Nothobranchius furzeri: one gene and its partner. The protein of the gene in region 1 binds, or shares a complex with, the protein of each later gene. Links are inferred from orthologs where the notes say so. Each region holds a gene or a part of one and is shown on either strand. Other genes may lie near its edges.

What was found.
Region 2: nhp2 (region 1) and gar1 share a complex: the UniProt entries of both Homo sapiens proteins name them as parts of the H/ACA small nucleolar ribonucleoprotein (H/ACA snoRNP) complex. The link is inferred for Nothobranchius furzeri from reciprocal best matches to the Homo sapiens genes NHP2 and GAR1.

The regions. Positions count from the first base shown.
Region 1 is NC_091750.1:25,729,649-25,744,816, reverse strand, and holds nhp2 (H/ACA ribonucleoprotein complex subunit 2-like protein), read right to left. Parts: upstream 8,900-15,168; 5' UTR 8,787-8,899; coding exon 8,624-8,786; intron 8,554-8,623; coding exon 8,484-8,553; intron 8,284-8,483; exon of another isoform or gene 8,250-8,283; coding exon 8,144-8,249; intron 1,185-8,143; coding exon 1,059-1,184; 3' UTR 893-1,058; downstream 1-892. Other genes in the region: cornifelin, read right to left, coding at 12,415-12,537. UniProt on the Homo sapiens protein: Required for ribosome biogenesis and telomere maintenance. Part of the H/ACA small nucleolar ribonucleoprotein (H/ACA snoRNP) complex, which catalyzes pseudouridylation of rRNA.
Region 2 is NC_091741.1:77,340,860-77,356,057, forward strand, and holds gar1 (H/ACA ribonucleoprotein complex subunit 1), read left to right. Parts: upstream 1-11,779; 5' UTR 11,780-12,927; coding exon 12,928-13,162; intron 13,163-13,435; coding exon 13,436-13,590; intron 13,591-13,699; coding exon 13,700-13,759; intron 13,760-13,844; coding exon 13,845-13,968; intron 13,969-14,111; coding exon 14,112-14,237; intron 14,238-14,328; coding exon 14,329-14,339; 3' UTR 14,340-14,770; downstream 14,771-15,198. UniProt on the Homo sapiens protein: Required for ribosome biogenesis and telomere maintenance. Part of the H/ACA small nucleolar ribonucleoprotein (H/ACA snoRNP) complex, which catalyzes pseudouridylation of rRNA.

The DNA of each region.
Region 1 (15,168 bases):
AAGGACTGATAATCTTACTGACTGTCGTAAAAAGCACTTTACTATTGTTAATATTTTCATTTATAATTTTAGAAAAGAAGCGAATTCTGCTTTTTATTTCTTTATTGTACTCATAAAGTTGGTCTCTACAATTATCATAATGAATTAGAAGTTTAGATTTCCTCCGTAAGACTCTGATTTCGAGCCCTTTTCTCCAGGGGGGTTTCATCTTTTTTATTCATCTAGTTTGAAAAGGTGCAACTTGATCCATTACGTTTTCGTATTTTAAATTAAAATCCATCACTAGATCATCTGTTTGACCTTGTAGACGCAGGTTTTCCATTCTGTTATTGTCGAAATAATTTTTGACTTCCTGAGGGTTATGCAGCTGGGGAGGAACAGCTAAAGCATTAAAAAAATAAACAGTAATGGTGAGATACAGCCATATCTGTAATTATAGGTGCAGTAATATTAAGGTCATTTGATATAACCAAATACAACCAAATGTGTTGAAGCAGTTAAAAACGTTCTGCTTACCGGCCCTGCAGGCCCAGAGCTGCTCTACACTAATGCGTCCTCCTCAGAAATCTGTTTATCATCAGAAAGCCAATCTGCTGCCACCTGGTGGTTACACCATCAAACTGCAGCTCATGAGTTAACCCAGCTGGTCTCAGACCAGCCTCAACAGAACCAGTGTGGCTCACCAGACAAGCCTGTAAATTAGAGTAATAACAAAACAATAAAGCTTCGGTCAGAAAAGGTCAAACCAGATCTGGAACCACTTCCTGTTTTGAGGTAAATTTTAAAAACTACAGTTGGTTGAAACTGACGTTTAAGTTGGAAACCTAAAGACTAAACAAGCACTTTCAGATAAACTTACTTTTATTACAACTTCAAACAAACTTCAGTCGGATTATGTTCAAAGGTTTAATAGAATTAAAAAAGTCAGAATTTAAACAGGAAAACAGGCAGAAACAAACGATCAAACTCAAATCTATCAGATCAATAAACAGTCCCAAGCGTCCTGCTGGCTCTGAGGTGACAGAGGCGTTCAGAGCTGCTCTCTGATTGGCTGCAGCTCAGAGCGGTTTGGGCAGGGAAGAAACTTCCTCCAAACACTCGTCGTAGGCATCCTGGTAGTCCTCGTGACGCTTGATCAGAATCACGCAGGTTGGCCGCTTCGAGCCAGCGGACGAGCCCAGATCCTGGAGGAGTTTCAAAATAAGGTTCAGAAACAACAATCGCAGATTTAAACACTTCCTGTATTCTAACCAATCAAAATCAGATGAGCTCAAATCCAGATCAGAATCGGCCGATCTTCACCACAACCGGTTTAATCTGTGATCCCAAAATCAAATGGTAACTGGTCTGTGTTTGTAAAACGCCTTCTTAGGGGTTTACAACCCCCCCCCCCTCCCCAAGGCATTTTACAACACAGTCATTCACCCATTCACACGCTAGTGGTGATGAGCTACGACGTAGCCACAGCTGCCCAGGGGCGGGGCCTGCTGAGCACAGGCGCCACCGGCCCCTCCCACCACGACCAGCAGGCAAGGTGGGTTAAGTGTCTTGCCCAAGGACACAACAGCAGCACTCTCTGGCTGGAGCCGGAATCGAACCTGCAACCTTCTGAGCTACTGCGGCCCCCCTAATTATTATAATTATATATCAGCTTTAGTCTGGGATGGACCCACATCATATATTAACACGCTGTCCTCTTTATGTTAAATAGCCTGAACTAGCTTACAGCTGCGACCATAACACACGTACTTTACACGTTCAATAGGCGGCCCAAGGGCCAGAACCGGCCCATCAAGCATTTGGGACCGGCCCATTGTCTTCATAATTCTTGATAAATGGTTTTTCAAGTAGCAGTGTCGCGGTTATTAGCAGCCGACGGCTAAACCTCAATCGCGGCAGTTTACAACATTTTGTGACATTTTACGGCACGTTTTGGAGCGTTAAGGTTGGTTTATGCTTGACGCGTCCGCGAGGTCCGCACGGCTCCGCGCGGAAAAGTAGCGTCATTTTGCATCATTTTAACAACCACGCCCCTCCACCGCGTCTCCGCACGGCCCAAGATTTCCGCAACGCGCACCTCGGAAAATTTCTAACCACGCGGACGGTCGGACGCGGAAAAACATGGCGGACCGGCACGGCAGAGGTTCGTAAATACAGACATTTGTATGATTCAGCTCTCAGAGATCACCGTGATCAACATGTTGTTAATAATTCTTGGAGAGAAATAGCTCGCACCGTCGGAAAAGACGAGGACGCTGTTAAAAATGCTGAAATACCATGTTGTAAACAGTGATTTCTACTTCTACTATGGTGTAGTGTTGGATGCATGCTGTAGAGCTCCATGCTGCCCCCTACAGTTTGGGAGAATATTGGCTCACCGCAGAGACGAGCCGCACAAACCATAAACGCTGCGAGTTGTGAAGCGCGTTCCAGCCGCGAGCCGCATCACCGCGTGGAAAGTGAATGCGTCAAGCATAAACCAAGCTTTAGGGACCCGTCCAACAGGCCGGTGACGCTGTTAAGCTCGTCAGTGCCCGTGAACGGCAGGTTTAAAAACAAGTCGCGCAGCTCCTGATGGAAAGTATATGACGACTTATAGCAGCAGTTTCTTGGAAAAAACACGTCACATTCAAAAGAGAAGAGACGTAAAATTGACACCGAAAATAGAAGATTTAACGACGAGTGGACTGATCAAAATGCTGAAGGGAAACCCATGTGCCTCGTCTGCCTCGTCATTTGCTCGGTAAAGAAAGAATACAACGTGCGGAGGCACTTCAAGACGAGTCACGCTAACTTTGACAATGAATATCCACCAGGCTCAGAGGCTCGACAGATAAAAGTAAAGACACCGAGCCAAAGCTATCAGCGAAGTTGTGTGCATTTCACCCGAACCTGCACGTTGCAGCAGAAAGCCACAACAGCACCTCTGCAAATCGCATGGATATTGACTAAAAATAAAAGAGCATTTACAGATGCTGAAACAGTGCAAGAATGCACACAAGCTGCTGTTGAGGAAGTGGAGACGGATGAAAACGTGAAAGAGCAAGTTATAACTTCGATTAGATCAGTTCCACTGTCCGATACAACCACTGCGAGAAGAGTGGATGCTTTAGGGATATGAGGAAGGCTGACTTCATATCCCTCGCTGTGGATGAATCAACGGGCAGCTCGGATGTTGCTCAACTTTGTATGCTTGTGCGTTTTTATGATGGTCACCGTTTCAAAGAGGACATATTGGGATTAATACCACTTGAAGGGCATACAACCGGAGAAAGTCTTCCAGAAGATTGTGGATGTTTTTCGAGAGAACGGACAGGACTTGGAGTGTATCAAGCTGCTTGTTACAGATGGCGCGCCTTCGATGGCGGGGAAGATCAAAGGATTGTCCTTTGCGCACAATTAAGTGGCGAGTTGAAAAACATAACGGATTCTGTCATGGCTACAAGTAACTTTATCAGATCAACATCTGGTCTCCAACACGGACTGTTTCGCAAACTTCTTGTTAATGTCAGCTGAGCATGCTGACCTACTTTTGCATATCAGTGTGAGGTGGTGAAGCCAGGGAAATGCACTCATGAGAGTCTGAACTGAGGAAAGAAATCATTACTTTTCTTCGTGAATGCAAGCAGAGGAAGGCTGAAACATTTCTGACCAACATGCTGGATGATAAATTTGTGTCTGAGATGTGTTTTTATGTGATATTTTTCATCATTTGAGTGTACTTAACCTGGGACTTCAAGGGAGAGATGAAACAGTTGCTGATGTGGTTGAAAGACTGACTGCTTTTCAAAATAAACTAGACATGTTTTCATCCGATCTCAGTAGCAGACTGCTGCATTTTCCAACCCTCAGTGGCTTCATGAAGTCATCACAATGTGGTAAAGTCACAAAGGTCGTGTCAGACTTTCTGGACCGTTTGAAACACAACTTTGCTCAGAGATTCTGACTTTGACATTCCCAAAGAGTTGCTGCATGTCGCGAGGAACCCATTCACCAGCACGCCCAATACTTCCCCCAAAACAGCGGCGTTCCTGGAGTTACATGGCACTGATGAAGGTCCCCTGCGACTTGAAATGACTGAAATACTAGGGCTGGGGGTAAACGATTATTTTTAAAACGATTATTCTGGCGATTATTTTATCGAATAGTCGACTATTCTAATGACTATTTAGACAATTAATCTAATGATTATTTTTCTATTGCACAATTAACAAAAACCAGAAAATCTCAAATAAATTCCTCAAAAAAATTGATAAATTCTTACTGTAAGAGAATAAACACTACAGGCCTTCCATTTTGTATAACACTGCTTTTATTGTGTTGGTTGGTTATGTTCTGGTGACGTGTAGATCTTGGGAGTGCAGGCTGCTGCCTGAGAGGTGGTAGAAGATGGAGTGTCTCCATGCTGCTTTGTTTTGGTCACTTTTGTGCGGGAGGCGAGTGGTCTTACGACTCTTCCTGGGGAGTTTAGCTCGTGTGCAAAAAGGAAGGGACAATAACGGGATTTAAAAGTTAAAATGATGATCAGGTTTATTTACAACTGCAAAAAAACCATAAATCTTTCCATCCACAGGTTGGGAATAATAAAACTAATTCTGCCTGTGGGGAATTAAAACAAAGTACAAATAAGTAGGGATCCAAACTCTAAACTGGGCGGTTAAACCAAACTCAGGTGATATTTTACACTAAACCGAAAACCCTACACAACACTCTAAATGTAATAAAAGGGAGATCTACACCTCAAAAAAGATTAACTCTAAACCAAAACGTAACAGCTTATCCCAACGCAAGAAGCTGTTAGCGAAGATGCTAACAGTAGCTTTACCAACGTTAAGTTCAAGTTACCAAGTTTAAATAAACCAAAAACACCCAGCAGCAAACAGACCAGCACGGAGGAGAGACTGCTACCACCAAAACAGCTCTCCTCATGTCTGAAAGAAGCTCCTTAATGAAGGGAGAAGCACTCCCGGTGATGTTCTACATCTGCGATAGACACGAAGCAGCGCGTCTGACCCCGGAAGTTGTTGTCCGTTGCCGGGAGACGAGGGCGGGCAAAACAGGAAAGGAACCTAGTAGTGGACGGACATTGTTCCGGGTCTTCGGTATTTGGCGGAGATGTTAGTGAAGGCGGAGAAGAGGGCGAACTAGAGGAAAAACAGGCAGATTCCTCCTCTATTTACAAACTCCTGGGGATGCAACAAGTGGGCGCGGTGCGTCGACTACCGGATCTGACGTCGACAAATTTTTAGAATCGAGCCGTCGACGTCGTCGAGGCTTCGCTACAGCCCTATGAAATACAGGCATCAGGGGAATTCAAAGATGTCCTTCAGGAAAAAGGCTGCGCCAAGCTTTGTCCCAGAGATGTTCCCAAACATGGAAAAACTGGCCATATGTGTCTTAACAATGTTTGGGTCAACACGCGAATCAGCCTTCTCTCACATGAACGCCATAAAAACAGAGAATCGAATGTCCTTGACAAAGGAGCATCTGCATCATTGTTTGCGGATCGCCGTCACCCCACACGAGCCTAACTTTTCTCATCTTGCCCAGTCAAGTGTCATTTTTCTCATTAGAGATCGATCAGTCTCCGGCAGTATGAGGACCAAACACACTATTGTTTCCTTTGATGTGCTTTAAAAGCCAGCAGTTTAATTTTGTTATTTTATTCAAAATGTAGATTGTTCTTATTTGCACAATTGCTCTTACCGTTTTAGTTTATGACTGTGATATTTCCACAAAAAATATGTTAGGTACTGCTACTGGGATTTCAGTCAAACTAAACCGTAGGGCTGTAGCGAAGCCTCGACGACGTCGACGGCTCGATTCTAAAAATTTGTCGACGTCAGATCCGGTAGTCGACGCACCGCGCCCACTTGTTGCATCCCCAGGAGTTTGTAAATAGAGGAGGAATCTGTCTGTTTTTCCTCTAGTTCGCCCTCTTCTCCGCCTTCACTAACATCTCCGCCAAATACCGAAGACCCGGAACAACGTCCGTCCACTACTAGATTCCTTTCCTGTTTTGCCCCTTCGTCTCCCGGCAACGGACAACAACTTCCGGGGTCAGACGCGCTGCTTCGTGTCTATCGCAGATGTAGAACATCACCGGGAGCGTTTCTCCCTTCATTAAGGAGCTTCTTTCAGACATGAGGAGAGCTGTTTTGGTGGTAACGGTCTCTCCTCCATGCTGGTCTGTTTGCTGCTGGGTGTTTTTGGTTTATTTAAACTTGGTAACTTGAACTTAACGTTGGTAAAGCTACTGTTAGCATCTTCGCTAACAGCTTCTTGCGTTGGGATAAGCTGTTACGTTTTGGTTTAGAGTTCATCTTTTTTTGTGGTGCAGATCTCCCTTTTATTACATTTAGAGTGTTGTGGGTTTTCGGTTTAGTGTAAAATATCACCTGAGTTTGGTTTAACCCGTAAGACCACTCGCCTCACGCACATAAGTGACCAAAACAAAGCAGCATGGAGACACTCCATCTTCTACCACCTCTCAGGCAGCAGCCTGCACTCCCAAGTTCTACACGTCACCAGAACATAACCAACCAACACAATAAAAGCATGGAAGGCCTGTAGTGTTTATTCTCTTACAGTAAGAATTTATCAATTTTTTTGAGGAATTTATTTGAGATTTTCTGGTTTTTGTTAATTGTGCAATAGAAAAATAATCATTAGATTAATTTTCTAAATAGTCATTAGAATAGTCGACTATTCGATAAAATAATCATCAGAATAATCGTTTTAAAAATAATCGTTTACCCCCAGCCCTACTAAACCGGTTGTTTTCTACGCTTTACTAAGCACAGAGCAAGTGCTGTCACTATGAGTTGTTGACTCAGACTTTTCTTTCATTTATATGCTTTAAAAGCCAGTAGTTTAATTTTGTGATTTAATTGAAAGTTTTGTTTGTTCTTATTTGCATAAAAGACATTGTAATTATCGTTACTGTGTTCTTTATGTGACCGTGATTTCAGTCAAACTACAGCTGGTTATGTTTTCTTGGCTTTATTTTAAGCGAAAACAAGTACTGTAACTGAGTTTGTGACTCGGAGTTCTGTTAAAACCAGAGTTGGCTATGTTTTGCAGTTTCTATTATTTTCACTAAAAACCAGCAGTTAATCCTAATGTCATTTGACTTGTTTCAATAAAACTGTTGAAAATGCAGCGGCACTTTGTTTTAATAGGTAAATATGAGATACGGGGAAATGTACGGCCCGCTGGCAAAAGCCTCATGATAATTTGGCCCAACAAAAAATCTAACCGAGTAGCCCTGCGTTAAAAGCTGTACTCTGGCCCCATGCATGCGCGGGTTTCCTCCGGGTACTCCGGTTTCCCCCACAGATCACAACACGCCCTATAGGTTATAAATTGTAAGTCGCTTTGGATAAAAGCGTCTGCCAAATAAATAAACATAAACATACTTGTGACAAACGGGCAACTTTAAGGTCACGTGACCACCACTACTGCTCAGCAAAAACTACGTCCTCGAGACTGTAAACACCCAGACCCTGGAGCAGAACATGATAACAACATATAAATGATGAAAACTCAGCAACAGAGCTGAGGCGGACTTTCGGCATTGCCATGGAAACCTGTAAACACTCCAGCTATCCAGCTTTGATCAAACAGCTGGTGGCATGTTTTAGTTCTGATGTCTTTGTAGTCCTCGTAAATCTTCCTCTATCCAGATGAAGGACGAGGCTCTGTACCTTCTTCCATTCTCATTTATCTAGTATCGATTAACAGGGTCTGCCTGTGGGCCTTGCTTTAAATAGAGATGATTCCACTCGAGCATCGTTGGTGGTACGGAAGCATGGATTCATTATAGCGCTGACGTTCTGAGCTCACTACGTGGAACCCCCTCCCCCCGGTGTAGATGGACCAGATATGCACACGGCCCTGATTTAGATCAAAACCGTTGGATCATATATACACATATATCATATATAATAATAGTACTAGTAATAGTAGTAATAATAATAGTAATAATAACGTTTAACACAATCAGAATCTAAAAACCACGACACCAGCCCTTTACCTCATAGAATGTGTGTTTTACTTGAAGTCAAGGGTTAAAACTGACGTGTGAGAAATCTGAAATCCTGACAACACCTGCTGACCTTTGACCCCAGCTCCACTCACTCACCGTTTTAGAGGGCACGTAGGCGTACGGCAGGCTCCTGTCCTCACACATGATGGGCAGGTGACAGTACACGTCGATGGGCAGCGTGTCGCCCGCCAGGACCACGATGCTGCAGAGACCAGACCGGGTTCAGGTGAGCACAGGTGAGGTTCTAACGCGCGGATGACTACGGTGTCCTGAATGGTTCAATGCGCTAAAACTGAATAATGTTCACATTTAAATACATAAAAAAAAAATTAGTGCGGAACTTCTTCTGAGGGACAGAAAACAGTGACGGACCGGACCACTACAGTAATGGGGACTGAGGTTCTGGACGGACCCGGGCACCGTGAAGCTAACTCACCCTTTCTCTCCTTTCTTGATGAACTTCTGAACTTCTTTCACGCCCCTCCGGATGTTCTTCACCTTAGCAGCTGAAATCAAAACACCGGGTAAAGAAGCGGGACACAAGCACCGGTCTAACGGGTCTCGGTGGTCTTTTACCCTTTTTCACGCACTTGTAGAGCTTCTTGCTGAGCTTCCTGGAGGCCAGCGGCTGAGAGATCGGGTTCAGGTGGGAGACCAGCTCCTGGTAGGTCCTCTCGGAACCACCGGCCGATGCGACCGAATCATTTGGATCCGCGTTTTCCTTCTTCGTCTTCGTCATCTCTGATAATCAATAACCGATTGTTGCTTTCTGCTTTCACCCAGCACGCACGTGTTTTAACTCTTGTCCCGGACTAACAGGACCATTGGACCACAGCGCCCCCGGCGGCCAGGAGCGGAAATGTCGGCAAAGTCTACAGAGGGCCTGTAGACGCGCGCGCGCGTGTGTGTGCGTGTGCGTGTGTGTGTGTGTGTGTGTGTGTGTGTAGAAGAAGAAAGTATCATTTCTATAGCGCCTCTCAGGATGAAAATCACGAGGCGCTTCACAAAAAAAAGTGTAAAACATAAAAAAATAATTTAGAAAATGGTTAAAATATGTTTAAAATGAGCAAAAAATAGACAATTGTGATTAAAAAAATGTAAAGAAAGAGAGAGAGAGTGAATAGATAGGGAAAGATCCTGAGGAAGGTGGAATAGGTGGGGAGAGCAGAATAAAGAGAGTGGTGAAGAAGGTCACACAAAAGCCAGCCTGAACAAGGGCAACACCTCTGAAGATAAGAGTCAAGAGGTGCTTCACAAGAACAAAACTAAAACATGATTAAAAACACATAATAAATTGTGAAAATGGAAAATTTAACATAAAAATGAGAGGGAAGAAAGAAAACGAGTAAGAAGAGGTAGCAGCACCTGAACAGGTGAGCGTTCAGCTGCATTTTAAAGGAGACCACTGGATGTAAAACAGCTGGTGGTCTGTTTTAGTTCTGACATCTTTGTAGTCCTCAGAGACACAAATGTATGATTATTGCTCCGTCTGGGAGAAGAACGATGCTCTGTCCTCTTCTTCCATACTCATTTATCTGCAGTGATGTGACATTCACGAGCAAATCAAATCTTTTGGTTTTCAAAGTGAACAATGAGAGCCGAGTCTCTGTAGAGAGCCGTTCATCTTGTCTTCCAGTACCAAGCCTCCCCGGAGGTCGGCAAAGCGCACCCGCTCAACCCCCACCCAGCCCGTGACGGACGTGGACAGAACGCTACCCATCCCAACCACCGTGCGCCCTCACATAAAAACCTTTTCTTTGATCTCACTTCTGATTTAGTGGAATGTGTGTGAGAAAAATGTTACGAAGCATTTTAAAGATGCAACAAATTCCACACAGCAATAATTATTATCTGTAAAATGTTGCTAGTTAACTCATTAAAGAGCAAGTCACCCCCTACCAGAGGCTTACTCCACTCCCACTTCCTGTTTGAAAAGTGCAACAAATGCTGTTGCCTGGCAGAGTGAGAGGGTGGAGCCACTAACAAACACACAAACACACAGGCTCACAACAGCATTGTGACATCATATAGTACCAGCTTATGTCATAGTGTACCTCAGTGTGTCCCAACCCTGGTCCTCAGGGACAACTGTCCTGGATGTTGTCCATGTCTCTGCTTCAGCACACCTGATTTACATCGGCTCTTCAGAAGGACATCAAGTGCTGCAGATGCCCGTTAATCACTGCTTCATTTAAAGGCCCCTTGTGTGAAATTCACAGAAATCATAGTAAAAAGATCCGACTCTTTAGCACCACGCAGTTTAGAGTCGGTATTGCAGCTATTGGAGCCCCCGAGGATCAAAAAGGTTTTTTTAATCATTATTTAAAACTTTATTAACAAATATAACAAATACAATACAAAATCGTGTTGCTGTAAACGGCAGCATGTCATCATCTAATTCCAGCTTTCAAGTCAGCGAACAGGTTAGTTGTTTTCATCTAACTTATTTTATTAATTTAATCTAAATAGGTTTTGAATAAGAAAAACTTTTTTATGTCAGTTATGTTTGCTAATAGCAAACGGCAGCTAGTTAGTGATGACTTCAGACTACAAAAAATGACAATATTTTGTTCATTTTATTTGAGAAATGTTATATTTCTATTTGCCATTTTGGAAATATACAAGGTAGTGTAGTCTGTAATTGTTTTCTCTCCGTAAACAGAGTCAGACATCATCCGATGGTTCATCAGTGGAGACAGACAGAGGACGAGGGAGAGGAAGAGGGCGAGGACAGACGTGTGCCAGCGCACAGAGAGGCAGAGGTGTTAGACATGCGACAGAAGCAGGGCAAGCATCCCAAGATGAAGGAGCCGAATTTGCTCAAACCAGCCGCAACGTCCCACGCACAAGAGGAAGAGGCAGAGCTGCAATAAAGTCTAGAAGATCGGCGCTTTCAAGCGCTTTCAAACTATCCCGTTTCTCAAGTTTGCTTGTAGAATATGTGTGATCCTCCATCGCTAGAAGTACGGTGTGGCTAGTTTCTTCTTCTTCTTAGTTACTTTGTCAGACTGCAAGCTTACAAGGCGCACTTCTGCCCCCTGCTGTTTCTTTGAGGTTACATCATTTAAAAACGCAAACATCAAATGCGAAGCTTAATATGTTGTATGTCCCTAAAAGGTCACTGTATTTTAAGATGGCGCATGCCATATGGAGCACCGGTCTGCTTCTTTTGTCTAAAATATTAAAATATAAAGCTAATAATAATGCTTAGAATAAATGCTTGTTTGAATTATCATTAAAAAAAACAAATTTGAGAATGTGATACAAGAAATTTGATAACTTATAAGATGAAATATCACACATTGGGCCTTTAAGTCAGGTGTGTGGCAGCAGAGACACACTGGTGTGTGAAAGGACAACATGGAGAACATGCAGGACAGTGGTCCCTGAGGACCAAGTTTGGGAAACACTGGACCTCTTAGACAACAGCGATGGCAGATTTAAAGTTAAAGTCCCAAAGTCATCATCACACACTGGTGAAATTCATCTCCACACGTGACCCGTCCCCATGGAGAGGAGCAGTGAGCTGTAGCGGTGGCTGTGCTCGAGAACGGTTTGGTGGTTTAACCCCCCCGATCCAACCCCTCAAAGCTGAGTGTGAAGCAGGGAGGTGCTGGGTCCCATTTTTAAAGCCTTTGGTACGACCCGATCGGAAATCAAACTCCCATCTCCAAGTCCCAGGGCAGACACCCCACCACTAGGCCACTGAGTGGCTTTAACCCTCTGGAGGCAGGTGTTGCAGATTAGCAACGTTAAAACCTACCTTCCCGGTTACTCCACATACTTATATCTTTCATGAGCATTTTTTTAACTCAGAAGTTCCCCTGAAGGACTTAGTGTTCGTCCTTTTATCAAAACTTATTTTGAGCCTGAGAGGGTTAAATGATAGAAATTCAAATGCAGTGCAGAGTTCTTACCTGAAGGGGGCGCAACACTGACAGTTTTAGGTAGAACATTTTAATTTGAACTAAGATGCACTAAAGTCCCAAATTATTGACTACACGTCTACAGCCTGATAAAATATAAAATAAACAAAAGCAGCAATTCTATAAAAAAAACTAAGATCTGAATGAAAAAACAAACCAGTTTTATCTCGGACCTCCGATTTGACTCACAGTCACTAAAATCAGTAATAAAACACAAAAGATGTCAAATCTGATGTCATTAATGACCTTTGATCCTATCTCTGAGGTCACACTTCAGGCTGTGTTCACGTTAAATCACAAAGTTTCTGTCTGAAACTGAAGAAAACACTAAAAAAAAACAAATCAGACAAAACAAAAGAGTAAAAACATCAAAATAAAAACCTATAGCACAAAGAGCCGAGTCACTTCTGGAGCAGTGATATCATGCTGATGACATCATCCTCAGCTGCTGAAGATGTCGCTCAGCACCGTTGGCAGCTGCCTCTCCTTCATCTCTGAGGCCATCTGACACCATACACACGGGAGACAGAAGGTGGAGCTCAGGCAATCCAAACACAGGTCACCCTGAAAGTAAACAAAAAAACAACAACAGAACTCACCCAGAGGGGTTTACTGTGAGACCTGTTCACACGTCCTTCATTCTGGTTCTATAGAACCTAAAAGTCCACAAGAGGTTCTGGTTGAATTTAGACTTTCATATAAAAACTTGTGATTTAATCGTCATTTCATTTAAAACTAAACAAATAGAACAAACCAAGACTTTGTTCACAGGATCAGATCCTGATGTCGAAAGCAGGATTCCTTCAGTTAGAATGCTGTTTGGGTTGGGTCAGCACCACTCTCATCCATAAATACCTCCACTGATAATTAGAGGCTCTGTGGAATCAGATCTGATTTCTACAGAATAATCAGAAATCAGGACCAAAGAATAAAAGCAGCTCCAGTTTCATCCTGATGGGTTTTCCTGCTGCAGTGAATTAAGATCTGATTCTTTTTTCTCATCCTTCTGGTGCTGAGAACTACGAGTTAATGAAAATAGTTCGGATCCAACATGGTTGTTACTTTGGATCAGAACCAGGACTCAGAAGGTTGTTTCATTAAACCCAATACTTAGCATGTGCTCCTCATGCATGTGTGGAGTTAGCACGTTCCCCTTGTGCGTGTGGACTTAGCGTGCTCTCCTTGTGCATGTGTGGAGTTAGCGTGTTCTCCTTGTGCATGTGTGGAGTTAGCGTGTTCTCCTTGTGCATGTGTGGAGTTAGCGTGTTCTCCTTGTGCATGTGTGGAGTTAGCGCGTTCTCCTTGTGCATGTGTGGAGTTAGCACGTTCCCCTTGTGCATGTGTGGAGTTAGCACGTTCCCCTTGTGCGTGTGGAGTTAGCGTGTTCTCCTTGTGCATGTGTGGAGTTAGCATGTTCCCCTTGTGCGTGTGGAGTTAGCGTGTTCTCCACATGCATGTGTGGAGTTAGCGTGTTCTCCACATGCTTGTGTGGAGTTAGCACCTTCTCCTCGTGCCTGTGTGGAATTAGGGTGTTCTCCTCGTACATGTGTGGAGTTAGCATGTTCCCCTTGTGCGTGTGGAGTTAGCGTATTCTCCACATGCATGTGTGGAGTTAGCACATTCTCCTTGTGCATGTGTGGAGTTAGCATGTTCTCCACATGCATGTGTGGAGTTAGCACGTTCCCCTTGTGCATGTGTGGAGTTAGCGTGTTCTCCTCATGCTTGTGTGGAGTTAGCGTGTTCTCCACATGCATGTATGGAGTTAGCACGTTCCCCTTGTACATGTGTGGAGTTAGTGTGTTCTCCTCATGCATGTGTGGAGTTAGAATGTTCTCCACATGCATGTGTGGAGTTAGCATGTTATCCTCGTGCATGTGTGGAGTTAGCGCGTTCTCCACATGCATGTGTGGAGTTAGCATGTTCTTCTCATGCATGTGTGGAGTTAGCACGTTCTTCTCATGCATGTGTGGAGTTGTTGTGTTCTCGTGCATGTGTGGAGTTAGCGCGTTCTCCACATGCATGTGTGGCGTTAGCACGCTCTCCACATGCATGTGTGGAGTTAGCACGTTCTTCTCATGCATATGTGGAGTTGGTGTGTTCTCCTTGTGCATGTGTGGAGTTAGCACGTTCTCCACATGCATGTGTGGCGTTAGCACACTCTCCACATGCATGTGTGGAGTTAGCATGCTCTCCTCATGCATGTGTGGGGTTAGCATGTTCCCTTCATGCATGTGTGGAGTTAGCACGTTATCCTCGTGCATGTGTGGAGTTAGCACATTATCCTCGTCCATGTGTGGAGTTAGCACGTTATCCTCGTGCATGTGTGGAGTTAGCACGTTATCCTCGTGCATGTGTGGAGTTAGCACGTTATCCTCGTGCATGTGTGGAGTTAGCACGTTATCCTCGTGCATGTGTGGAGTTAGCGCGTTCTCCACATGCATGTGTGGAGTTAGCATGTTCTTCTCATGCATGTGTGGAGTTAGCACGTTCTCCTCGTGCATGTGTGGAGTTAGCGCGTTCTCCACATGCATGTGTGGCGTTAGCACGCTCTCCACATGCATGTGTGGAGTTGGTGTGTTCTCCTCGTGCATGTGTGGAGTTAGCACGTTCTCCACATGCATGTGTGGAGTTAGCATGCTCTCCTCATGCATGTGTGGGGTTAGCATGTTCCCTTCATGCATGTGTGGAGTTAGCACGTTCTCCTTGTGCATGTGTGGAGTTAGCACGTTCTCCTTGTGCATGTGTGGAGTTAGCGTGTTCTCCTCGTGCATGTGTGGAGTTAGCACGTTCTCCCTGTGCATGTGTGGAGTTAGCGTGTTCTCCACATGCATATGTGGAGTTAGCACGTTCTCCTTGTGCATGTGTGGATTTATTGTGTTCTCCTCGTGCATGTGTGGAGTTAGCATGTTCTCCACATGCATGTGTGGAATTAGCGTGTTCTCCTTGTGCATGTGTGGAGTTAGCACGTTCTCCTTGTGCATGTGTGGATTTATTGTGTTCTCCTTGTGCATGTGTGGAATTAGCATTTTCTCCACATGCATGTGTGGAGTTAGCACATTCCCCTTGTGCATGTGTGGAGTTAGAGTGTTCTCCTCATGCATGTGTGGAGTTAGCGTGTTCTCCTCATGCATGTGTGGAGTTAGAGTGTTCTCCACATGCATGTGTGGAGTTAGCACGTTCTTCTCATGCATGTGT
Region 2 (15,198 bases), on another chromosome or scaffold:
TGGAACCCCTCAAGGCACTTTACAACACAATCAGTCATTCACCCATTCACACACACATTCACACACTGGTGGGGATGAGCTACAATGTAGCCACAGCTGCCCTGGGGTGCACTGACAGAGGCGAAGCTGCCGAGCACTGGCGCCACCGGTCCCTCTGACCACCACCAGCAGGCAACGTGGGTTGAGTGTCTTGCCCCAAGGACACAACGACAGCGACAGACTGGGCGGGGCTCGAACCTGCAGCCTTCCGATTACTGGGCGAGCACTTAACTCCTGTGCCACCGATTTTTTTTTTCTAGTTCACCTTTAGCATTGTTAGCTCACCGTTGGCTTTTAGCCTGCTTCTACCGATAATAGAGTAAAAAGAAAAAAAGATGCTGCAGAGTTAGCTTAGTGCAGACTCTGCAACCTCACAAACTCACTGAGTGTAAACAGTAACTTCGTCCCTTTTTGTGTTTTTTTAAGTGAGAAAACCGACCACCACCCAGTCGTCTGAGACAGCAGATCTGTTCAGTGTAACCTTCCCTCCAACAGGACTGAGACATTAAGCTGTTTTGTGATTATTTCACTATAGACTCCTTACATGTTCCTGCTCTAAGTACATGACATATTAGCATGCATCTTTTTAAAGCTCAATGCATTTTATTGCAGGTAAAATGTCCCCATTCTGTCACTTAAAATTTTATAACTTCTAATTATAATGCCTTGTCTTTTAATATATCAGTCAAACCTGCACAACTTTTATTTGACAATTTAATGTTAAAACAGGACACCCTACTTTACAAGATTTGCCACTGCTTGAGACAAAACTGTCCCTGAAAATGTTATGCCATCCTCAAATGAGGTTCAGTATATTCCACTACTGAGACAGAAGCTAAAGCTAACTGTGTCAAGGAAAGGCCGAGGATATCACAGCCAATGCCAGGCATTAGGCACATAATGGCTAGGATTTACTGATAAAACAGGGGCCTCACAGTGGCAGTTCTCAGGGACTTAAGTGGGTCGACTTGGGGTTGTAAACTACATGAATTCTGCGTTCTAGCTGTCAAACATGGTTTTGACTTTCATAAAATCTTTAGAAAATGAGGGTTTTAATGTTTGACGTGTTGCAGTGGAACTATGGACTATGAAATACTACTGAAATATTTATTTCACCAGAAAGATGCACAAACAGATGAAATGTTCCAGTCAAGAGGTCTAGTTCTAACATTTGTGAAAGTGGCTCAGGGTTTAGGAGTTTGCCCTGTAGTCAGTGGGTTGCCGATTAAAACCCAGGGCTCCTTCAGTGTCAGTTGAGTCCTTGGGCAAGACACTTCACCCTACTTGGTGGTTGGAGGGACCGGTGGCACAGATTGTGTAGCAGCCTTTCCGCTGTCTGTGTGTCACATGGCAGCTGTGGTAACGTTGTAGCTCATCACCACCATCAGTGTGTGAATGACCGAACTGTACATTTTTTTAGAGTCCCTGGCTTAGAAATGTGCATTATTATTACTATTATTATTATTAATATAAAAAATTGAACTGGAACATTTCTTAAGTGAAATGCTATGATTAGAATTAACACTACTATGCACTGGATAGAAAAAGAAAACCTGAAAAAGAATTACTCAAATGAACAAATACCTTCACATTTATTTAAAAATCCAATCTTGATATTACTTTCCAGCAAATACACGTCCCTCCACATGTTTGCTTTCCACTACACAGTTACTTTTGCTTATGAAAAAAAAACAAAATGTAAAAGCAAAGGCTAGCATCTGGGAAATCTACTCAAACATAAAATAGTTAGACTGATTCTTCGGTCTGACGCAGGAAATTCTTGCATTGGACAGAAGTTTTTCTGAGGATGCAGAACATCGGCTGAAGGCAAGTAGACCAGTTCTGATTCACTAGTCATAAGAACAGCTAAGATTGTTTTCTTTTGTTAAGGTTTGGCCTCAGGTAAACACCACCAACTATAAACCCTACAACATCTTATTAAAAAATAAGGTGGTTCATGCTAGAAACCCCTCAAATAAAGCTGAATTACAACAATTCTGCAAAGATGAGAGGGCCAAAATTCCTCCAGAGCACTGTAAAAGTTATCGCAAACGCTTGATTGCAGTTATTGCTGCTAAGGGAGGCCCAACCAGGTATTAGGTTCAGGGGGCAATTACTTTTTCACACAGGGCAATGTAGGTTTGGATTTTGTTCTCTCCCTAAATAATAAAAACCATCATTTCAAAACTGCATTTTGTGTTTACTTGTGTTATCTTTGACTAATGGTTAAACATGTTTGATGATCAGAAACATTTTGTGTGACAAACATGCAAAAGAATAAAAAAGGGGCAAATAGTTTTTCACACCACTGTACCATGTGTTGGTTGTGGTCAGAGGGGCCGACGGCGCATAGCAGCCTCGCCTCTGTTAGACTGCCCCAGGGCGGCTGTGGCTACAAAGTAGCTTACTATCACTAGCAGTGTGTCAATGTGAGTGTGTGAAAGTGTCTTTGAGTGTCCTGAAAAGCACCATATAAGTTTAATGCATCATTATTATTATTTCCTATGTGTAAAAGAGTCATCGTGAACAAACACCAGCATTGAAACATATCAAGTATCATTATTCAGTTTTCTAAACCCTTTTATCTTTCCAACAATAACTTCAGACAAACTGGACATTAACATGAAACATGAAGAGACAGACAATCGAGCCCTAAAAAGCGTGCAGTCCAGTGGTTTTAACTCAGACAGCATGTCCTCCACGTATCAGTTGCACAATGCTGTGACAACTCCGGAGGATACTGGGATCAAAAAGTAAAAAAAAGAGGGTAGTAGACTTGGAGTCATCACTTTGGATAGTTTTCCCAAAGATTAGAAAGACGTTCAGACACATGTACCCAAGAAAGCCTTATAAATCTGTGAGCTAGTCCAGCATTTACAGACGACGGTACCCAGCCTCACCAACACCTGTTAAAACTCGTCTTCCTCTCGCTTTTGATCTCTCATCTCCTCCTGCTACTTTGTTATCATCATGGCTCTCCTTCCCTCTCTCTAAAGTTTGAATTATTTTCCCCAAATGTATAAAGAGTTGTTCTAAGTTGTGCAGTTTGTGATTAATGGTGCAGGCAGAGGAGACCAACCAAAGACAAGAGGACAAATCTGTTTTCCACTTTAGAAGAAGATGGAAAATCCGGATCGCTGCCAAAGGTATTCATTTGATCCGAACAACACTTCAATAAAACAAATTCCTTGGACAGCTATTTTTGGTTCTTTACAGACGCAATCCCCAAACAACCCTTTGTCTTCTGACCTGACAGCCTGCAACTGTTTTGCTAACCGCTCTTGATGACTCTCCCTTTTTAAATCGATACGTAATATTACCAAGGACGAAACGCGGTAAGCCTGACCACATGAAGCAGATATTTCTCCACGGCTGATTTGGTGCCAGAGTTTTTTAGCCCAACTTCTCAGACAAGATAGTCTGAAGCAGAATCAGTGTCACTGGAACTGCCAAGTACGACAGATGTAGGGAGAATTAGCCCTGTGGAGATGAGGCAGTTTATAAATTTGAAGTCTAAAGAACATTTTATGTTTTTAATTCAGGTTTTCATCAAAGCTTTGAGCAAAAAATAGGAGACATCAACATTTAACCCAGATAAAATAGCAATCTCTACACAGAACAAAAAGACGTTGATTTGGTTAGATGCTCTTGTTCACACAACAGAATCTTGTGTGTGATGTAAAAGTGCCACCTAGTGGTGAATGTGGGAATTAGCTGCAAAGAAAAAGTTTTACTTTCTTAAAAACGCATGAATGGTAAAGACAAATAAGAAATGTTTCCTTTTTTATCCAGTGATGAAAGCAAGTAAATTCTTCATGTCTTTGGTTTATCTTCTTCACAGTCCTGAAGACTGATAGAGCGGATGCTGAGAAAAGGAGAAAAAACAAAACAACTAAAAAATAGTGATTAAACAATTCCTTTAACTAAATAAATTCATTTATTTGAATAATAAAGTTGTTAGATCTTTTTAAAACTAACATTGATCAGTCCCAGCATTACAAACAAAGCATCCTTTCAGTAGAAATACTCTAAACAGTCATGAACCAGCTTAGAAAAACATCTTTAGATGAATACACAACACACAGAATAACAAATACAGTGCATCGAAATAGCCATAATATTATGACTATGTGGCAGTGTGAGCGTCCTGTCACAGTGACCCGATTGATCATGCGCCCTGGCTACTTGGCCACGGGGATGTCCCTTTGGCTGACTGGTTAGCGCGTGTGATTCTCACCCGGGAGTCTGGGGATCGAATCCTGCCTGCGCCCTCGCTTCTCCACCTTGCCACAACTATATGCATGTTATGAAAGGTGTCCATATTTTGCAGCTAAAACAGCCTTAAGGTGTGATGTGGGATTTGACACGAAGACATTCTGCTAATAACTAAATAAAGCCACTGCGGTGTTGTTCTTGACCAAACGGAGATCAGGACAGCCTTGAAGTAAACTCAACACTTTGAACTCTTGTTATGTTCCTCAAACCATTTTTGAACCACATTTCCTACCTTAGTCTGATACATCTATCCCTGAAAATGGTGGCTGAGAACAAGCAGTACCTTTTACCCGTGAAGCTCCACCCCTAAACTCTTTTCCCCGAGTGCATCCTTGTGCGGTCAGCAACAATTTTTAAATGATCTTGCTACCTAAAGAAATAAAAACTTATCTTCTCAAGGTAAATAGCACAGACCCTGATGTCCACATAATGTTGAGAAAAGGACTGTGCAAGAACTAAAGTTGTGAAAATGCCATCGCCCAGCTGTTTGGACGATTATCATGCTTGCTCAAATGTTGTTTCAATAAATCCACGTTAAAGACTAGATTGCTTTCCGATTTCCTCCCAGTAGAAGGAGCCATTTTAAAGATGATCAATTATAATAGTGGGTGTTCATAATGTTTTGGACGATCATTTTATATGCCCAATAGTTTCTAAAACTAGTGTTTTCCTAAGAATTTATTCCACTACTTTCCTGTTTTTACACACTGAAGCACTTCCTTTTTATATTATGTAGAAATGAAGTAAAAATGACACCATGTGGTAAAATTTGGTTACTGCACCCATTTTAAACAACTCAAGCTTTTTGCCGGCTGTCGTCAAATTAAAAATGTCGGCGCTGCAGTATTAGCCCGCAGGAGACACGGCACCCCCACACTCTGATGGCAAACAGTAGTAACGTCCCTTTTTCCTTTGTTTTGAAAGGAGAAAAACTGACAATCCCCACAGCCAGCTGGATATGAAATATGTTTCAGTATAACCTTCCTTTCTTAAATGACAGAAAAATTTGACTCTATTGGGAGTCACTGTAAAATTCTCTCTATATTCTTACATACTGCACCTTTAAAAAGTCAGACTGTGACAAACTGTACTTAATGGCTGAGGAAGTGAGGGTACTGGACACTTTGACATTGTTGTTTTCAGATTTTTACTAATATCCTTACTTTGGACCTAATCTGACGTGTAAGAAAAGCACCATAAAATAATTTTTGCATTATGTAAATTCAAAAACAAACATATTTTGTGGCCTGCCAGGACTATAACTTGACAATTTTGGCCCTCATCCTAAACAATTAGGACACCCTTGGATTAGAGGGATCTACAAACAAGCACATAGAAATAAAAAAGTCAACTAAAACTGAGAGACATAAATGACGACACCTTTCACCATTCTCCAGGGGGTTAAAGGCCGTGTTGATCTCATTCAGCGGCTGCGTGTGGGTGATAAACTCATCCAGCTTCAACTTTTTACTCATGTAGTCATCCACAATTTTCGGCACACCCAACACACTCTTCCAGCCTTCAGAAGACAATGACAATAACAAGGTGGTGATCACGTTTAGTTCAGAGAAACCACTCTGGGTCATTCAGAACTACATTTTAGATGAATATTTAAAACCATAACTCACCAGATCCTACAGGAAACCCTCAAACACAGTTATTTTGTGTTTAAACAACTTAAGGAGAACTTTGATTCTCTTAGTCTTATACTCATCCAGCTCTGCTCCTGGATTACGACCAACAGCTGCTTTATGGTGAACCATTGAACTTGTTTCCAGCTTACCTCCAAAATACGTCCCCTTCAAGGTGCGTCCCATCAGGATCTTTATGACTGGGACACTCATCGTTTCAGTCTCCATCCGCCCGGCGATGACGCAGGTCCCACAGGCTTCAGCTGTGGACTCTAATGCTGCAATCTGAGAAAGCACAAGATGTTTGAGTTTAGTCTTCTTTATTTTCTTACATGTTGACGCAGATATTTAGAAAATAATCAATAATTTTAGAGAGCATTCAACCACTTTTATTTTTGCACAACTCATACCTGAACTACCTGTAACTTCCTGGCACACTCAGTCCGTAGCAACCTGCAGACTCTTGACTCTAGGTTTAATTAATCAGATAATTACAAATCCACCATGACGTCTGGCTTTCCGACACACTCCAGAGCAACGTCCACTCCTCCAGTTGTCTTCTCCACCAGAACCTCCTGGATGGATTTGCTTCCATTGTTCGGGCTGATGCACTCAGTGGCTCCAAACAGCCTGGCCTTCTCAAACTTCTGAGGGTTGGTGTCAACCCCGATGATCGTTTTCGCCATGGCATTCTTACAGCCTATAATGGCAGCCATTCCGACGGCTCCCAATCCAAACAAGGCACACTAGGAATCTTTTTCAACCTGAAAAAGAGAAGTAAAACAACCATTTTTTTCACTGATGAGGCATACAGTCACTGATACAAATTAATGGCTAGAGTTATTTGTCGATAGGTGTGCCGGTGTAAATCTGGGTGTAAAAGATAAAACCTGGATGTAGCTGTGGAGAGTGAAAGGTGCAGTTTTAATGCGTGTGAAAATGTTGTCCACCATATAAACCAAGTCAAATAGCCCAATTTAATTAGCGATGTGTTATTTATTGCATTTGTAACAAATATTAATTTGAAGCTCAACCACAATTTATAATTTTACTTTGCAATGATGCTCCTAGTCTCATGTTTCAGAGAATATGTTTTAAAAATGGATGCTGTACAAAGCTGAAGCCAAACTGTTAACAAAATGCCCAAAATATTTGCACATTTTTATCTGGAATTAAATTTAAGGCCAAAGTGTTACAGTGTTGACTGTGACTTTTTAAACACGCATGAAACCATTTATAATAAAAATAATCTGGTAAATTATTCATTTCTAAAATGGATGATATCTCGTGCGTATTTTATCATGTAGCAAACATCCGGTTAAAGGCAAAAACATCTAGTGCTATCTACTGGTGAGATCTACACCTTGAAAAGTGTATATATATATATATATATATATATATATATATATATATATATACACACACACACACACACACTAAGAAGATGACTTTCTGCAAAAAACAGCCACTTTAACATTAGAAAGTACATAAACTATAGAATGAACAAAGCTGTTTACTGGTTAGAGGCCCCTTACTTTGCCTGAATTGATAGCAGCACCATAACCGGTGCCTAACAAGCAGACTTTGCCCAGAGGTGCATCAGCTACTTTTGCCAGAGATGTGTCAGGAAGCACTGTGTACTGACAGAAGGAGTCAATACCGAGGAACTGATAGACCTACTGACCTTTGATGGAAATCCTGCTTGTGCCATCAGACATTACGCCCTTTTGTGCATTGTCCCTAGAAATCACATGATGTGCATTCAGACCAACACCCATGTGATGTTTGTGTTTCTAAACATGTGACAAAGATGATCTACCAGTTCTTCCTGCAAAAGTTTGTTTTTGAGCTCTGGCACCGATCACACTTTCCACAAAAAGGCAAGAAAAGAGGAATAACTATCTCCTGGCGACAAAACAGAAGGACAAAAATTGAAAGTTAGAACTCATCACAACTTTTGAGTTAACTGTACAGGCCATCATACCCGGTGAGAATGCATTCTCACCGGGTATGATGGCCTGTACAGGGTATATGGCCTGTACAGGGTATGATGGATCTCTGGACCAACACTCTCCACTACGCCCGCTGCCTCGTGGCCAAGAACTAAAGGGAATGATCTGAATTTCAGTCTTTTCCCAGTCTCATACAGGTATTCCCAGTCTGTGTGGCACAGTCCAGTAGCAAAAATATGTTGCATAAAGTAAAGAAAGGAAATAAATAAATCAGGAAATGATTCATCTTGCAGTTTGCATATGTGGATGTGAAAAATGTTCACATGCGTAATACTTTTCACTATCACACGCATAAAGTCATGATGTTTTATGAAAGTGCTGCTGAATTATGTCCTTGAGCTTAGGTGGAGCAACACTTCCTCGATAGACAAAGGCTTCTTCTGCTCCCAAGCAACAGCTGCTTTACACTTGATCACCTTTTGTAATATAAAATACACATTCATTCAGGTTTCAAATAAAATCACAAGACAAGGATCAACAAGCAGTCTAAACACGGTGAAAAATATCAAAAAATACTCACCTGTCCTGCCTTTGCCATAGCTGATTAATGGCTACTCAGTCTGCAGTCCACTAAAACATGAAGATATGTTTATATCCATTTATCTGTGAAGCGACTTTTGAGCTGTCCCACTTGCTGTTGCATCACATATCAACGATGCCTCCAAAAAGCGCTTTACTCATATAAATATTACCGTTGGGCAATTACGACACTTTCCGACTGTGGTAATCGGGTTTACGACAGTCTATGGTCACACGTGTTATTTGAGTGCGAAAAGGCTTCTTGTAGTCCAGGTAAATAAGTTCCTCTGTACTTTTGTCACATATGTTTAAAATGTTTAATTTAAAAGAAACTCAACAGATGTTGCGTTTTGTCCGTTAAAATAACTGAGCGTGTAAACGTCTTAATTGCGGTTTAAGCTAACGCGTTAGCATCTACATGCTATAATCCACGCCGTGAACTGCAATCACGTCTGTTCTCGGTTTTTAGTTTGGTATTAAGTTATGTAACCGTTTATAGAGGTTGCAGATATTTTTGAAATGGAATACAGTCTGGAAAATGATCGATTGCCGCTGTTAAAATGGTTTAAATCAAGGTTAAAACAACATTTGAAACGAGAACTTAGTTAAATAGCGGTGTCAGATTTGGTCCTCTAGGACCACCAACCTAGATGTTTTAGAGGTTTCTGCTTCAACAAACGTGGTTTTAATCGGCAAGTGATTAACGGGCCGATCCGAAGCCTCTGGGCAGGTGAACTAGGTATGTTGGAACAGAGAAACAACGAACATGCTGGACAGGGCCCTCCGTGACCAGACCAGGGTTGGAGCTAACGACACTGGAGCAAAGGGGTCTTGGATTAGTTTTGAATCAATCTCAAAACCATTTTAAATATAGAGAATATAGGATTTTAAACAGTCAATACATATCATTGGGAGACTGATCTTAAATTATATACATTTTAAGGAGGTTTATATCAAAGTGGAGTTTATTATGAAGCAATTTCAAGAAATGCTTACTACAAACACTGTCAAATTTTAAACATAAACAAAATAAAAAGAAAACAGTTTAAATATAAATAGAAAATATAGAGAAAAGCAAATGGCATCCAACACAATATAAAAAAAAGCAGCTCCTGGATAGAGTAAACTCAAGTTCTACATCTGGAACAGCTGGTGGGTTTTGGTTTGAAGACATGACACCATATAATACCGTTATCTGTCCGTGCAAGGGCACACCAGCACGCTCACAAGGATGGGACAGTCTAACCCACTTTTTAAACATCTTTTAGACAGAGAATACAGTCTTGTGATTGGTCAGAACTCCGCTTTCGTCAACAGCACTGCCATTGCGCCCTCAAAAATATAAAGAAGGCCAAAGATATCCAGCGGCACACAAGGAGCAGCTTGATGAATACCTCATGGAGGAACTCTATAAAAATATAAACGTTTTATTCACCCATGACTGGAGGAGTGAAAAGACACACAGCAAACGCTCTATTCGTGGACGAAAATTACAGAAAACGTGGGTTTAGAGGTGGCGAGCGCATGAAGAGGTGGGGGAGCATGAGGGACAAATTTGTCTGTCTTAAAAATTTTCTAAAATACAAACACTATTAACCCAATAGGAACAGGTCTATCTTGGACATTATACATGACAGTATACCCCAGAACTACGCCCTCTATTCCTGGAGGGGTAGCTTTGCAACACTCCCCAGAAGACGGACAAGTCGGAGATCAAAACATCTCTGTTAATTTGTGTGCTGATGCAAAAGCATAAACTAGGCTTTACAAGCAAGGCACTCATTCCTACTTGAGACCACTGCAAATGTATAAAAAATATGAGTAAAACTGACCTTAAACAAACTGGTTGAAAAAAAAGAAAAGAAATTGGTTTGGCCCAGGTGGGAATAAAGAGAAAAGGTGTGATAACTAGGGTTGTCACGGTATGAAAATTTAACCTCACGGTTATTGTGACCAAAATTATCACGGTTTTCGGTATTATCGCGGTATTTTTTAAACGGTGTTGCATATGTTCAGAAAGCATTGATAGTCCTGTTCTACACAAACTGAAATAGTTCTGTAAAGGTTTAACAATGTTTATTAAACCTAAAATAACACAAAGCCTTAGCAAAAGTGCAACTTTTCAGAAGTAAAGAACAAATAGCTTATTTTTCTGGAACATGTTACAGTAGTCAGTGCAGGTTTAAATTATACAAATCCAAACATTCGAAACATAAACAATATGTAAACAAATCAAAGAAACACCACTTGTTTTCTCATATACTTGTTTTCTTCATTATCAAAATGAAAATCTAAAACTCCAGTCCACACTTGACTTGAGCACTGTACAAGTCAACCTTAAAAAAATATGTATTTAAAATAAATAGCCACTTTAAACAAATTACTAAAATAACTACTACACTATGTAATCAAATCCAAATGTTCAAGTATAAATGGCATTGAATAAGTAAACAAATCAATGACAAGGAACTAACTGTATATTTCTCTTCATCATCAACAAATAAGATGCTTCATCCAGCAACAGGTGTCCGTGACACGGTTTAAATGCTGGCAGAGGACGCTGCGGCTGCAGTATATAGTGACTCGTTGCATTCTCCCTCAACCAAAAGTCCTCACGTCATGCATTTAAGCTAAAATGCTAATGTTAACTTACCTTGCACTGGCTGTAGAGACGTGGGTGATGGTCACGCAGATGTGCCATTCGATTCGAAGTGTTGCTGCCTTTTGCAGACACTTGTTTCCTGCACGTTCTGCAAACGGGATAGCAGTCTTCTATTAACTGTCCCTCAGCATTTTTCAGAAATCCAAAATATGCCCATACTTCCGATTTAGTCTTCTTTGACGGCTGATGGATGTCCTGGGCGCTGCCGTCTCCTCCTTCGGCCATTATTTCAGCTTCAAAGTTTTGGTGCCGTTGCAAACTAAAAAGTGCGTGTGCGCGCCGCGGGAACTTCAGCTGAAGCGACGGTGGCTGGTAAGGGTCACCGCGCCGAAACCGCGGCCACGGTAAACCCACCGAGATAATATAGTTTTTTAAAAACTGGACGGTTATTTTTATTGTCAACTTTTTTACCGGGGTTTACCGCTATACCGGTTACCGTGACAACCCTAGTGATAACACAAAAGTAAATTTCTAATTTTGATAAGAAAATAACGTTTGAATTAAACACTCAATGTGACTTTTAAACAACAGCGTTGGTCTTAAAGAGCAAGTTACCCCCTACCAGATTCTTACTCAACTCCCACTTCCTGTTTGAAAAATGCAACAAATGCTGTTGCCTAGCAGACCGAGAGGGCGGAGCCGCTAACAAATACACACACACACAGGCTCACAACGACATTGTGACATCGTATGGTACCAGCTAATCAATTCAATTTAAAAATACTTTATTAATCCCAGAGGGAAATTAGAGTTTCAGTACACACAATTCTGAGATCAGACATGCATACATGGACACATGACAAGAATTGGTGACTGTGGTCATTTGCAACCCGAGTCGCGCTATCGTAATAGATCAAGAGGGTTAATATGAGGATAGAGTCAGGGGGAGGGAAAAAAGGCACTTCAGTTACCCTCAACACAGAGGGCAGCTTTGCAATGCAAAAAAAAAAAACCACCTCAGACAGATATGCACAGACTTTAGACATTACACAACACAAGTGTCCACTAGGTGGGGAGGTAGGGTTGGGACTCTCCTCACTTCAGTGCGTGCAGCCACATGGAGCAGCATTCATCACCTCCGCTTGGACAGGAGAGGGAGATAATGGGTTAGAGGGCACATTTGACTCCTAGATACGGTTCCACAACCTTCACCGGTCACAGTCCCGCCCAGGCTGGGATAGGGAGAATGTTTCCATAGCGACGGGCCGGCAGCATTCCACATTTCTTCTGTGAGGGGAGTATTCACTTCAGCCTCACAGGCTCCAAGGGCACCAGATTCAGATAAAAATTGTTTTGGGGACAGACAGATGATTTCCTCTCTTCCTTAGTGTTCTGTTGGTCTTCAACCCCTCTAGATCCAGCATTGGCATAATTAATCTAATGTTCTAGGGTACCTCTTAGCCAATAGAGATTTGGCAGATTTAAGTTCAAATGCAGTGCAGAGTTTTTACCTGACAACGGCACAACACTGACAGTTTTAGGCAGAAAATTAAAATTTTAACTAAAATCCACAAAAGTGCAAAACTATTGACTACACGTGTCTGCAGACCGATTAGATATGCATTTATATAGTTTCTAAAAAAAAAAAGTTGATTTGGGGGTGACTTGCTCTTTAAGCTGAGGATTTTATGTGATCACCAAAAATCCCAGCGACTAGAATTTATTTAATAAAGAATTTGAATTTAGCTGAAGAAATGTGAAAGAAAGTTTAAAAATGACACGACACCAAGGATAGACAAAGCTGACCGTCTTCAGCGTAATCGTTCCACGGTTCTGTTTTACCTTGGTGATGAAAGGCTGTAAAATGACCCACCGTGTGTGTGTTTTCCTGACACCTTCATTTACAGACTTGAGAAGAATGTCTTTCAGAGGAGGAGGCGGGCGGGGAGGTGGGCGAGGTGGTGGGAGAGGGGGAGGTTTTAACCGAGGTGGTGGATTCAGAGGTGGTGGAGGATTCGGACGAGGAGGTGGAAGAGGTGGTTTTAACAGGCAGCAGGACTACGGTCCTCCAGAGTACGTCGTCGGTAAGTAGACTGTTGTTCCTATTTGGCAGATTGAAGCAACATTCACACTGCATGTCTTAACGCTCCATTCCATTTTTGTTTGTGTGGTTGTTGAAATTGTGCCTCAAATGTGACACCAACACTCTTCAGTGTGAACGTAGCCTGTTTTCTTATAAAGCCTGTATCCACGGCTCAACAGACCAGTCAGAAAATGACTGGATTAGACTGCAGTTTGAATTTTAAAGGTATGTTTTTTTGTTTTCTGAAACTCATCGTTGTGTTTCTACTCCACAGCTGTTGGAGAATTCATGCATCCCTGTGAGGATGATATTGTATGCAAGTGTACAACAGAAGAAAGCAAAGTTCCCTATTTCAATGCCCCGGTGTACTTGGAAAACAAAGAGCAGATTGGAAAAGTGGATGAGATATTCGGCCAGCTCAGGGACTTTGTATCCTTTCTTGTGTGTTTTTTTGAGTCATCTGTGTAAAATGATTAAAACACTATTGGTTTTTTTTAAGCTTCCTGATAATTAAATTCCCTAACTAATGTGTGCGCAGTATTTTTCTGTAAAATTGTCTGAAAATTTGAAGGCATCGTCGTTCAAGAAAATGCAGAAGGTAACTGATGAGAACAAGAACGTTTTCAGATACTGAACTCGGATACTTCTGCAGGTTGTGATATTTGTTAAAATTGGGTTTTCAGTTTTACATAGACCCGATGAAGCTACTCCCATTGCAAAGATTCCTGCCTCGGCCCCCAGGAGAGAAAGGCCCGCCAAGAGGAGGAAGGGGAGGCGGCAGAGGTGGAGGAAGAGGCGGTCGTGGAGGTGAGTCATTTCAGATGTTTAGTCCTTTTTGGTCTTTTGCTTTAAAGTTTTTTAGGATGGTTTTTGTTTCTACTAAACCAATTTCCGGTTATTTGAACAGCTTGTAAAAGTGGTGTGATTTTTTTTGTTGTTGTTAATTTCAGGTGGTTTCCGGGGTGGCAGGGGTGGAGGATTTGGAGGTGGGCGTGGTGGGGGGTTTGGAGGTGGACGTGGTGGTGGTGGTGGAGGAGGTTTCAGGGGAAGAGGAGGTGGAGGACGTGGATTCAGAGGTTGGAGCATTGTTATTGTTACCGATTTCTAGTTTTCATTTTATCATCTGGTGTTAATTGTTGTCACGTGGTTTATTTTTGTAACTTACAGGAGGAAGATGATCGGATGCTGTTGGGTCTGCTGTCAACATGTCATCCTTGTCTGTGACATATCCAGAGCAGACTTTTCAACTTCTTGATGACCATGAGTGGGTTTCTTTTGTATTAATGTTTTTAATGGTGTATTTTTTTTCTGTTTATGGTTATTTTTATTTAAAAGGTTCATACGAAATGTGTGGATGGGACCTTTTCTGTTGTTTTGGAGCATTTTAAATACGATTGTAGACAAACAAAAATATTTTACACCTGCAATGTAGTCTTGTTCATCAGGATTCCAGGAAACAAACTTCTGTAGTAATTTCCTTCTTTGAGAAGTCAGACTTATTCAGTGTTGGCAACAAGCATTTTATTACTGAAATTGTAATAACATCTGAAAAAATATTGTATTTTTTGTAAAGTAATCAATTAAATGTGCTGTTTGGCGTGGGTTTGAATTTCATTCTCTTTTGAAGCCTTTTTGCATATTTTAAAAGTGAACGTGGCTTCTTTGAAAATAATCTCATAAATAAATCTGATTTAATATTTCTGAATTGAATTAATTTCTCATCAAAGTTTGTGAAAAACACATTTATTTAAACACATGAAGTTTTACCTAAAGCTTTGAACTATGAACACGCAATTTATTGATGGATTAGGAGGTGTTATGTTTTTAAAAAGTTTTTTTAGTCTGTAATTTATCTTCACTTCTGTTAAGCGTCAGCAGGTATTCCTGTCCGTTATGTAAAGATTAGTTAAGTATTTTTTTATTGAAGTTATTTACAAATACAAACATATATTTGTTAACAAATACAATGTGAATCTTAGAACCAGAAGAATAAGAAAGTGGACGGAAGGAACTCGTTCTACACAGATTCTTCTTCCA